Linked DNA regions of Schizosaccharomyces pombe. Changing the gene in region 3 together with the main gene of any one other region gives a genetic interaction. Each region holds a gene or a part of one and is shown on either strand. Other genes may lie near its edges.

Region 1 (4,408 bases), on a different chromosome or scaffold from region 3:
GTGGAACCAGTCATCTTAGTTAGTGCAGCCCCGGTATTCCACGGTGAAAAGCAAGTTTGCAGTGTAGAAGACAAATGGACCATTTGTTCATCAGTATATACAGTTAGTTAAAAGGATACGAAAGGCTGGATCATTTAGTGAACGAAGTCGCAAGTGAAATACTTGTTCATTATTATGTTCTGGTAAAAAAACCAACTTTTATTACTACAGCAGGAAAACAAACAAAAGTAACATATTGTTGGCAGAAAACACACAACCGAAAAAAACCTGTCTACTAGGAAATGGATCATTTTGATACTTCTGATCCGTTAGATACATTGCAGAACAAAAGATCGACCGAAAGGTTATCAATGACAAAATCTCTCTGGACCCTTTTGTTCTCATCTCTATTCTGTCCAAACCATCATCATCTAGTTCAATTCTTCTTGGACTCTGGTTTGGATGGAATAGTCAAACATTTAATGCCGTACTCTTCCGTAATCATGGCAATGACATGTGCAACAAAGTTGCCGTAAACACCAATGCAAATTCCAACGTAGCAAAAAAAGTATTCCGTCTGAACGTTTTTTAATACGCCAAAAGTATAGGCGTCCACGGCATCCACCAAGAATGGAAGAATAAGCACATTCCAGTATGGGAAGGGAGATTCGGTAATGTGAGAAACAATTACCACTCCAACCGAATAAGCAAAGATAAAAGCGTTCAAGCAAAAAATAGTGAGGAAATGATGTTCAAAGAAAGCAGGATACTTGGCATAGAGTGAAAAGACAGCCATCCATTGGAGGAAATAGGGAAGGATACCACTCAATGCTTTAATCACACTTCCGTTGTTCTTTTGGACGGCTTGAAGAGCATTTCGTAAACTTTGTAAGACATTCAATAGCAGGGCAAATGCCATAAAGTTGTACAAGCATGATCCATATGTGTAGTATGGCAGAAAGGAACGTACAAATCCCCATGACTCGGGAGTGGGATGTAGCTTGAGCCAGAAAGAATCACCCTTAATAGCTGTAAGGGCAAATAGTCCAATAACCATTACAATTCCTTCGACAGGACCCGAGAAGTATGAAAGGTACAAAGTACCCGTATGGTATTCTTCCCAAGTAGAGATGTAAAAGTATAATAAGCTGGCAAATTGAGTAAGGATTGAGCTAAACATATCTAGTTGCAGCAGTTCAATCGTCAGTAAAACTTCAAAGCTCGTATTGATGGCGTCTACTCCATGGTCAAATAATTGACCTAATGGAGATGATGTGCCAGTACGACGCGCTTGCGAGCCATCAATAGCGTCAAAACTTTGGTAAAGAAAAAGGCCAATCGCCCAAGAAGCATACACCCATGATGGGAAAGCATCCATCTCATAATGATACTTGTACACAAGCATAGTAAGGATATTGATAACAACGAATCCAAGCCCGATCAAAGTAATCAAATTAGGTCTAAGTAAAGAGTTAGTAAGAATAAGCAAGCAAACGGGTGTAGATCATACGCCATAGACATGGGAATCACCTTCAAAAGTTGATTCCACCAGTACGGCTTCAAAATATATTTTGAAAGAAGTGAGTTATCAATCGCACTATATTTATAGTTATGAAGATTCTTTAACTGCTTCCGGTTTAACTGCATCTTGAGAAACTACCTGGATATCCTTTCCTTATTCTCCGATAAAGTACTGGTAGAGGGTAAACATGTTACGCGTCTTAGTGTGTAGAAATAAAGGCAAAGCAACGAATGCAGATAAACCTTCTACCGATAAATAAATGTATAATGTAGCTTGCAAAAAAACTTGCACTATAACTATCTTTTAAATTCTAAATTGTAAGGATAATTGTTGCTATCAACCGTTTTGATGTTATTTGTCCATCCGCAGTGGATTACGGATGCCCTAGGCAACAACTGTTTAGAGCAGCAAGGTCGCCCTAAACTTTTATAAACTTCTATTGAATTTCAATAGTCCTTTCTTTTCGCTTGTCCATCGCTTCATCTGCCTTGTGCGACAAGTGTCCTTCCACCACTACCTTTTTCTGCATAAGTCTCACATATGAGTTCTTTAATGGAATTCCAAGACAGAAATACGACAAATAATGAAACAGAACACCAAAAAAGCATCACTGATCAAAGTTCATCGGTCCCTGCAGGGGTAATTTTACCTCCTCCAGCAATTCGAGGTGAGTCATAGTAATTAGTACAATAGACGCGCCTGCTAACGTAGCTTAGAAATAATTGATAAATCTGCTAGTTACGTTGCCAGAAATGGCCCAGCTTTTGAAGAAAAAATTCGCCAGAATGAACAGGCAAATACTAAGTTTGCTTTCTTGCATGCTAATGACCCCTACCACCCATATTATCAGCACAAATTAACTGAAGCGAGGGAGGGAAAATTGAAGAGTCATGCCACAGGCTTGTCAACCCAAAAAACATCCACTTTGGCTCGTCCCATTCAAAAACCTATAGAGGCAACTATTCCTGCTCCCTCACCGTACTTGTTTTCAGAACCACTTCCTTCTATTTCATCACTAGATTTGTAAGTATCATCTCAACTATTATTTCCTTCTTCTTTGAAGTTGCTAATTAACCGTGAATCTAGAGACGTGCTCCGTTTAACTGCGCGATATGCGGCAGTTCGTGGTTCTTCTTTCTTAGTGAGTCTTTCTCAAAAAGAGTGGAATAACACTCAATTTGATTTTTTAAAGCCAAATAATGCATTGTACCCTTACTTTATGCGTATAGTTCAACAATATACTTCTCTAATTAGAGAGCCCATTTCTTCGCCAGAACAGGAGCTTCGTGAAAATGTGAGAGACCCTTATAGCTTACTTTCTAAAATTCAGCCGCGTGTAAGGTGGCAATCGCATATGGAGAGCCAAAAGAAAAAACAAAAGGAAGAAGCCGAAAAAGAGAAGTGTAAGTGTATATTGAGATGCAAAAACTGGTTCAGGAAGTCCAATATTCTTCATTTACCATTTGAATTGGAACTAACTTGTCTTAGTGGAATATGCACAAATTGATTGGAACGATTTTGTCGTTGTTGAAGTGATTCAATTCACAAAGTCCGATGAACATGCAAAATTAGCTAAACCTACGAATTTAGCGGATTTACAAACTGCTACTTTAGAACAAAAGTCTGCCATGTTTACCATGCCTGACCAAAATTACACTATTGAGGAAGCTCCTCCTACAGCGGAGCCTTGGGAGCCCATAAGTGCGCCTAAAAAACAAGAATTTGGTGTTTCTCTTCCTCCATCACTTGCTTCTCCAGAAAAAGGAGGTATTTCTTCAACTACTTCAGTTTCTCCTGCCGCACAAGCTTCTCCCGTTTTGTCTACCACTACTCAGCCGAAGGTACAAAAGCCAGTACCAAAGGGTAAGTTTATATTCCTTATTGTAACTTTACTGACCCTGTTTAGCTTTCCAGCCCAAAGTTCCGATGGAGATATCGCCTTTCTCAGGTGAATTGGTTCCCGCTACAGAACTAGAAGAGCATATGCGTCTAAAATTACTTGACCCTCGCTGGCAGGAACAGCGCAAAGTTGAAGAATCTAGGAAATCAACTTTAAATTTAGAGAACGTGAACGTTGCTGCAAATATGAAAAGATTGGTTAGTCAACGGACTGATTTGTTTGACGTCCAAAACGGGGTAGAAATCTCTCAAGAGGAAATCGAACGAAGAAAACGTGCTGCTACTCAGAGCGCTTGGGGAGCAACTCCCACAAATAAACGCCGGTAGATTTCATAGAACTTTTTTTAATTTTGTTAATTTTTACTTTATTTTATTTAAGCTTCGTAGGACGCCGAAATCTATTAGTTAATTTGCTTCTACAACTCGTGAAATAAATAAGATGTAAATAAACCAGGTGTTGTAGACTTTCTCCAACTAATTGAGAATACAAATATTCTTTATTATAAAAAGTCCAATACACTAAACAAAGCTGGATTTTAACTTAGGAAATGCGGGTCTGGTTTTCATACCCGCCCACCGTCATCCTTAAGTTGTCATACCACGTAACCGCACAAACCTCTTAATTTTTTACTTCTTACATTGTTGATTCTTCATTTATCGGCTTTAATAAATGCTACATACTATCAATTATAGATCTTGGCATTTGGCTGCCAGGCAGTTAGGGCGTTCAACGTTTCGAAAGTTTACGACCGAATCGTCTACTAAAAGCCCTATTGCAGATGTTTGTTTCGCATTTGAGTAATACAGTAATTAATGATCGATTTTTGAAACTAACCAAAGCAGTATTGATGGAGTTTTAATTAGAGGAGGAAGAGGTTTGAAAGAAGGAACGAAGACGTAAGCTTAACTATGAACTACCATTTTCAAACTAACTTGTAAGTTTGAAATTTTTGCAAAAAAATAATATACCTTTTATTCTGTTAACGAATGGAGGTGGTATGCATGAGA
Region 2 (3,945 bases), on a different chromosome or scaffold from region 3:
TACTTATTGATAGATTGGTTGGTTCATTTTTTTTCTTTCATCTTTTTCCAATCTATATGTATGTGTATATAAATATTTTTTATTTTATTATTTATTTTTTATTTATTTATTTTTTTCATTTCCCTCTATTTATTCACTCCGGATCACTTCCATCCTTATGTTATTTTAAAAAAAAATTTTTTTTTTCTTGTTCTATACTTCTGTTTATTTTCATGTCCTTTTCATTTCGTTCAATTAATTTCATTCCATTTCCTTTTCTAATATTTTTTTTCCTTTGCGATCGCTACCTTTTCCATACATATCTTGTTTTTTCCTCCATAGTATCCACCTTGTAAAACAAAATTCAATTAAATTGAAAAATTAATATTTTTAACAAATTTTTGAAAAGTTCGAAACTGCTGATTTACAATTTTCATCCATTCTTTGCTTTCCATTTTCTCCATTTCTCCTCTACTTGCGACACTTGGAAATCCATGTATAACCGAGTTTAAGGTTATTTAATAAGCGAATGTGTAGTTTTATTAATACAAAGATTGTTGCGCTCTTATAATCAACTATTTGCATAAAATTCATCTCTTTTATTTTTTAATTTATCATAATCTAAATAATGAAACCCCTCAACATGTCTGAGGACTCCTCCTGATTGCGAAAAAAACACCCATTCACCAATACACCAATTTAGAACCGGTTTTCTAATGTTTTTCTATTAATAATCAAATCATCCTCATAAAGTTCTTCCTTCAAGCTCACCATTTTTTATTTTTTCAAGTATTCATTCATTCCAAATTTTGCTTTTTCAATCCATCCAAACCTGTAAAGCCGAAACCGTTCCTGTCCAAAGATCCTTCTCTTTACTTTCATCCTCTTCTTCACTTTCATCCTTCTCATACTTGTAAATTCTATTTCCATAACATACACACTTTATCTGCATGTTTATAGGGTTCGCTTGTACTGTGTTTACCGTCAAATCGTAATTTCCCGTCACATGCGTTTCTTCCACAAGATCCTTGTTTCTCCATCTACGAATACTTCCATCCGTCCCACCTGCCAAAATTTCATCCTTTTTATCAGTGTCGAAAAGAATCCTTTGGTTCGTATCGCCACGATGCCCTTCAAGAGCATATACCATGTCGCGCACATACCGTATATCCCAAACTTCAATCTTATCACTGCATCTGCTTCCAACATATAACTTTTCTCCATCCTCACACCATTGTAGATGTGTCACTCCGTTTCCTCTTTCAATCGAAAACTCTAGCTGACAAGGGCGACGTCCGCAATCATTATAAATCCCAACTCGATTTGAATACGTTCCCACTGCCAATGTTTTCGAATCCATCGGATTCAAGGAAAAGCATGACTGTATACCCTTAAGACTAAATTCCCAAAGAGGGACTTTATATCCATGGGTTACCGTTGTCATGACAGGTTCTTTACATCCCGTTCTTATATTAAAATGATGGAGACAGTTTTTATCACCCGCAATCAAATACTCCCCATCGTTGGTAAACTGTAAACAATGCGATCCTTGATATCTCTCTTGGTGATCTATCATGTGATATGAAGCCTTGTTCTTTCCTGTAGTAAAATTGATCAACTTGATAGGTTGATCCCTACTAGACACTGCAAAAAGGTTACTGGAAGGATCGTCAAGTTTCATTCTCGAATACCAACTGTAACTGTAAACTGTTTCCGGTGATTGATATTTATACGACAGATGTTTTGAAAAGTTCAATGGTCCATCAGCCTTTTTGGATAAATCGGAAAACGGCACATTCCAACAGTTAAGACATTGATCCTCTGTTAACGAAAGTATAGTCGATCCATCCGGCGACCATCTTGACGAATGAAAAAAATTCAATGGCTTTGTTGGACTTTGAGCAATCACATTTGTTCCTAAATTAATACTTCCGCATACATAGCCGAAATTTTGACTTTTCTTCTTATGCACCAAGTCATCCTTCTGATCCTCAAAGGAGTTTACACAATTATCCATTCCTTCCTCAAGTTAACCTACTTTATTAACCATGTATGGATTATGGCTCTTCACAATGTCAACTTTAATTTTTTAAATATATAATATATATATGGATTTCTTTCTATCTGGTCATAAGGGTTGAAAACGAATAGTCCTTCTTTAAAAAACGAATTGTAATCATATGTAGTAGTTGTAATCTCAGTATGCTCGAATTACTCCAAGACATTTCCACGAGTCCTAAAACAGAAAGAATGTATTCTTTGTTTCTCAATCATAAAAAAAAAAGAAAATTAAAAGTTACGACTCAGGTTACTATATAAATAAAAATAGAGACAGGTTGCGATATACTTGTCTAACTAAAAAAACAATTGAGTACAATATCGTCAACATTTTTATTACTTTACGCCCATTGAAACTATAAATATATGAACGAAATTAAGCAAATAAGCCTTCATCGTTTTTTTGTATTGATAAATCAAAAAATATATTAATGAATTAACGAAAATAACCTATGCCAAAATCTTAATTTTTTTTTATCAATGAGTGCAGACGCGTACAAAAACTGCTCAACAGTTCATAAACTTTAGAGTGTGTCACTCTTTTTTTTCTTCAGCTATTTACTACAAAAGTTGGCTTACGCAGCGGCTTCCGAAATTGTAGCAGTTTCTGAAATGGTTGCAGAAATTGGTTTAGATGTTTGTGTCTTTTTCTTCCTGTGAAATCTTGTATCCTCTGGACTGAATCCACCGTTCCCAAACATGGCAAAATCGGGCGTGGATGCCATATAATCGAATGGACCAAAGTCTTTCTTTGTCCGTATTAATTCGAAAAACTTTGGATAATCAATGTGAGTATGCCAATGGCCATCTTTTTTGAACGCAGTTTGAGCAACTAAAATACTGCAGCTGTGTGCATGTTCTGCAGCAATTTCATAGCGGACGCCAAGGTCTTGTAAATGAATATCAATATACTCAATCAATTTTTTAACAAAGTCAATTACCTCTTCATAATAAGGCACATTCTTCATAGTCAACGGTGATTGATCCGAATTACCACTATAAGTAACCCCCTTAACTTCGATGAAACAAGGCACACCAAGACGAATCAGTTCAGTATACTCTTTAATTTGCTCCATGTTGAATCCCTTCACCAAGGTCATTCGGTAAACAGTACGCTGCCGCTTTTCACGTAAAATCTCCAAACACGTTAGCATTCGCTCCCAAAAATCCTTGAATAATGGTCGGTCTACTGATTTGAGACTCTGCTTAGTACTGGCATCAACAGAAACGTAGAGTTGAGTGACCATACCCATATTTCTTAATGCTTCAGGATGCTGGGCATTTGTTACTAAGAACGATGAAATCTCTCTTTCATGAAGCATGGACACAAATTCGTTTATGTATGGATAAAATATAGGCTCTCCAACCAAGGACAAAGCACAGTGACGAACACGAGACGCTTCTTCATATCTGTCGGGTAGAACACCAGGTACACCTTTCATTAATTTTAACTTGGCATAATGAGCCTTCAATATACCCTGAAGTATCATTTCTGGAGGATCAACCTTCCAGCGCCAAGAGGTTCCTACGGGATTCGTACCATGTCTCCAACAAAAAGTACATTTATTAGCACAGGCTAAACTTGGGGTAGCTTCCATACATAGATGACTTCGAATTCCATAGAAACTATACTTATAGCAAAAGCCTCGGCCACGCATAGCAGACTTTGTCCATCTGCAAATCTTTACACCACTATGTGAGCCAACTACGCTGTATCCCTGCTTTGTAAGGGCTTTATACGTAGGAGACTCTGTCGAAACCATCTCTTTAGTACCCACTGGCAAGGCTGCTTCTGCCTTTGCCTTGGCCATCATGGAACCCATATCCTCAACATCCATAACATCCGAACTAAGTGAATCCGTGTTTCCGATTTTCAAAAGCGTACCGTTTTTCAAGCATTCTGCTACA
Region 3 (3,638 bases):
ATGCCATATATGAGTTTGACGAACACATTGAGAATAAACGAGTATATGCAATCTGCTATGTTAAATTATTTGAATAAATCCTTCAATTCCTATTATCATGCTGCGCGCTGTTTCCTTCTCCTGGGACAATTCCTTAGTTGTTTACCAGCTCCAAAAGTGGACGATGCTGCTAACTGGAATGCAGGTTTGCTTTATTCTAAGAGATTGGGTCCTGTAGGAAGAGCAATGATCTTTCAACAAACTCACACTCTCTTTAAATCCCTTTCTTATTTAAAAACTGAATCTACGGACCCGTTCTCTAATAAGCGAACTCGTAAAGCCGCACTTTGGTGTGTATTAACTGCCGATGCTTGGTTGAGATGTCGCATTCCCTTTCGTGCCAAGCCTTTTGTAGAGGAAGCAAAATTGTTTTATGGAAAAATCGATTGGAAGGATTTGAAGGAGTGTGTTGCAGCACTTGACGAAGTCGAAGTCTCCAAACAACCTGCTTCTAATATTCCTTCTAGCTAGAAATGCCCCACTTTCAAAATGTATATTATTTTATTTACCAAATATCAAAATTTCTACAGGTTATTAATGTGATTATATATAGCGAAATAAACTAATAAGTTAATCTGATAATGAAAATTCGTTAAAACGAATCCAACGAAAATTAATGATTAGGACTGTGGTCCATCGGATCCCGTTTGTGAATTGGTAAGGTCAATAGTAAGAGGGGGACTAACTGAAGTGGCAGGAAAACCGTTAGATGTAGAAGGTTCGGTGGAAGATTCAACAGCAGTGTTCCTCAATGAATCATTTTTGTTAGTTGTTGATTGTTTTGCACGGTTGATGAGATCAGCAAAATCCTCAGCGTATGCCTTCTCCCAATCGCCCCCTCCTAGTTTTTCTTTTTCTACTCCAATTGATTTCGACTGAACGCGCTCCCAATCTATAAGTTGGCGAATTAAATTTCTTTTTGAAACAGGTTGTTTCTGGTCTAAATTAGAATTGTAAAGGGTAACCCATTTAGCATGTCGACGTTGTAATAGTTGTTTATGTCCATCGGTTGGAAGCCCCATCTCTGATAATTTGGAACGAATTTTTGATTCGGAAAGGAGTGCATAAGTTAGTTTGGGAAGCCGCACTCGATCTTTCAAGGGTAGTTCATCTGCAGAGTTAAACGACCTTAACCTGCGCTTCGTGATAGAATCATCATCTGTTTTGAATGATAGTAATGAATTAGATTTACTATTATCCTTATTTTTATAAGGTGAGGAAGAGGAAGACGGGGAAGAAGGTGAGTTAAGACAAGAATCCAAGTGTTGATTAATTTGATTATGAGGAACTAAATTTGAACATGCAGGGCAGTGAACTAAATCCTCACGTTTCCTCTTTTTAGAATCCCTAGATGTCTTTTTAGCTATAGAAGCAGGAGATGAATTTGAAGCCAAGTCGTCTTCCCATTCCTCATCGCCAGAAGCTGAATCCTGTGCGATAACTGTTTCAGGAGCTTGAAGTACTGGCTTTGGCACATTTTCTACTTTTAAGAATTCAAACAATGTTGGCCTGATCACTTTAAAGGACTCTAAAATCTCTTCTAATATAGTGTTTTTTCTTAAGCGGCTTTCTTGCTCAGGAGCACGACAAGCAGGGCACATAGGATGTTCTCTCAGATAATCGCGTATACAAAACGAACAAAAGGTGTGTGAGCAAGAAGTAATTAAGGGGGCGCGAAAGTATTCATGACAAATCAGACATCGTAAAGAAGAATCCAAGCCCTTCAACGATGGTATTTTCGTTTGGTTCCAATCAGATGGATCTGTAGCATCTAGTTCATTCATCTTATTTTAAATTGCAAACCCATTAATAGTTAATATGCACTAATATTCAAACTTAATTAGGGATTCGTAAGAGCACTCTCGGACGGTAAATTTTTAAACCTTAGACACATCGATATGTAAATGAATATGTATATTCATATACATTATTACATTTAAAGAACAAATGTAAAGAACCTGTTTCTAAACGTACTTACAGATTCTTACCCTCGATACCAGAAGTTGGCGAATGCAAAACCTAACTCACCACCAAATTTATCTATAAAGGATTTTTGAAATTTGCACTCTTGTAATTTCAATTTTGGGGCTCGGTCAGAAATGGCAGACGTTGCAAAGTTTTTAGATCGAGTTGAAGGAAGTTTAAACAGAGTAAGTTTTAGCATTTTATTGACATTGCATGTGAAGATTTCTAGATGTACCTTAGTAGGTTGATTCGATTTATCTTATTCTCAGAATTTTTTTTTTTTTTGTTTATACAGATTATATACTACAATGAAACAATAGAATAACTTTGCCTATGCGTATATTACTTGCTAATCAAACAAAGTCGATGAATTCTAACCTTTACTTAGGGACGTGAGATTGACAGAATATTGTCTTCCTTTAAATTAAATGCATATGATGTTCTTGATATTTTGCCAGGAATGAGTGTTGATGATATTCGAAATTTGTACAGGAAAAAATCATTAATGATTCATCCAGACAAAAATCGCGATAACCCAAAAGCTGCAGACGCATTCGACATTTTAAAAAAGGCGGAGTCTGATCTAGTTAATGATAAGATTCGGGAATCTCTTGATTCGGCTTACACAGCTGCAAGGAACCAACTATTGAAAGAAAAAAAATTGTCTCCAAATTCGGAAGACGTCCATTCAGACCAGTTTTTATTTGATTTAAAAGTACGTTGGCGTGAAATCCTTATTGCAGATGAAGTTGCAAGAAGACGAGCACGGCAGCTCGATTTAGCAAACCAGCAAAGAGAACAAGCGCGTCAAGATGAAATTGCAAGAGAACGAAAGCGTCGTGTAGAATCAGAAAAGGTTTGGGAAGAGACAAGAGATAATCGTGTGGGAAATTGGCAGGATTTCCTTCACAAAACGAAGAAAAATAACTTAAAAAAGAAGAATAAAAAACCAAGGGTTCTTGGATAAAAGACGAAGTTACGCGTTTTATTGTACATTAAAGCTTCGACGACTTAACCTCTTTTAGTATTTGTACATGACCTATGCGATTGAAATGATTTAATATGAAGTTTTCAACAATTTATAAATTGAAATTTCTTTTCATGCTACGTGAGCAGATTACCATTAAGTAAACTAATCAACAAATTCTACTGAAATTTGCTTTTCGACAGTGATATGTATCAGTATCGTAATAGAATTAATATGAATGCCGTTTAACCATGGTAACTGCTTTGTATATTTACAGCGTTCTATGGCATATATTCCTAATGGGTGCATGTAAAGAAAGAGAATGATTGCCCTACCCACTGTCGAATAAACAACAAACTAAAGATGTTTGTATGTACAAGGCTTTTTGGAGGAAAAAGTCCTTAAAGAGAGAATAAGACCAAGAGCTTCCTTTTTTTCCTGGCATAGCATTAAAGCGCACCAACTGAAGAAACAAGCATCATCCTAACGTGCATCCCATTATGAGTTCGTATACCAAGTTAAAAAAAAGAGGGCAGAATAACACTAAAATTACTAATTATGTCTTGATCATATGTTTAAAAGAGATAAAAAGAAATAAGAATAAAGAAAAAACGCGACCATCATTATATATGTAAGTGAAAAGGGGCAGCGATTTAAATAAAGAAGA

The links. Genes that interact genetically often act in the same process or in processes that back each other up.
Region 1: mutations in spf31 (region 3) and sap114 together harm fitness more than expected from each alone (negative genetic interaction), as found in Schizosaccharomyces pombe (one large-scale study listed by BioGRID).
Region 2: mutations in spf31 (region 3) and gnr1 together harm fitness more than expected from each alone (negative genetic interaction), as found in Schizosaccharomyces pombe (one large-scale study listed by BioGRID).

What each region holds. Positions count from the first base shown.
Region 1 is NC_003424.3:1,171,789-1,176,196, reverse strand, and holds sap114 (U2 snRNP-associated protein Sap114), read left to right. Parts: upstream 1-1,748; 5' UTR 1,749-2,041; coding exon 2,042-2,168; intron 2,169-2,217; coding exon 2,218-2,524; intron 2,525-2,587; coding exon 2,588-2,904; intron 2,905-2,989; coding exon 2,990-3,364; intron 3,365-3,407; coding exon 3,408-3,727; 3' UTR 3,728-3,846; downstream 3,847-4,408. Other genes in the region: ept1 (CDP-alcohol phosphatidyltransferase class-I family protein), read right to left, coding at 416-1,439, 1,490-1,626; cardiolipin synthase/ hydrolase fusion protein Crd1, read left to right, coding at 4,071-4,198, 4,241-4,297, 4,341-4,408. UniProt on the Schizosaccharomyces pombe protein: Involved in pre-mRNA splicing. May be involved in endoplasmic reticulum-associated protein degradation (ERAD) and required for growth at low and high temperatures.
Region 2 is NC_003421.2:765,374-769,318, forward strand, and holds gnr1 (heterotrimeric G protein beta subunit Gnr1 ), read right to left. Parts: upstream 2,171-3,945; 5' UTR 1,997-2,170; coding exon 797-1,996; 3' UTR 563-796; downstream 1-562. Other genes in the region: wybutosine biosynthesis protein Tyw1, read right to left, coding at 2,613-3,945. UniProt on the Schizosaccharomyces pombe protein: Negatively regulates the pheromone-response pathway. Acts as a structural mimic of the G protein beta subunit thereby interacting with gpa1 which then inhibits gpa1 signaling.
Region 3 is NC_003423.3:1,068,443-1,072,080, reverse strand, and holds spf31 (DNAJ protein Spf31), read left to right. Parts: upstream 1-2,044; 5' UTR 2,045-2,138; coding exon 2,139-2,189; intron 2,190-2,312; exon of another isoform or gene 2,313-2,392; coding exon 2,393-2,971; 3' UTR 2,972-3,120; downstream 3,121-3,638. Other genes in the region: TRAPP III complex subunit Trs8502, read left to right, coding at 1-510; rhp18 (postreplication repair E3 ubiquitin-protein ligase), read right to left, coding at 660-1,823.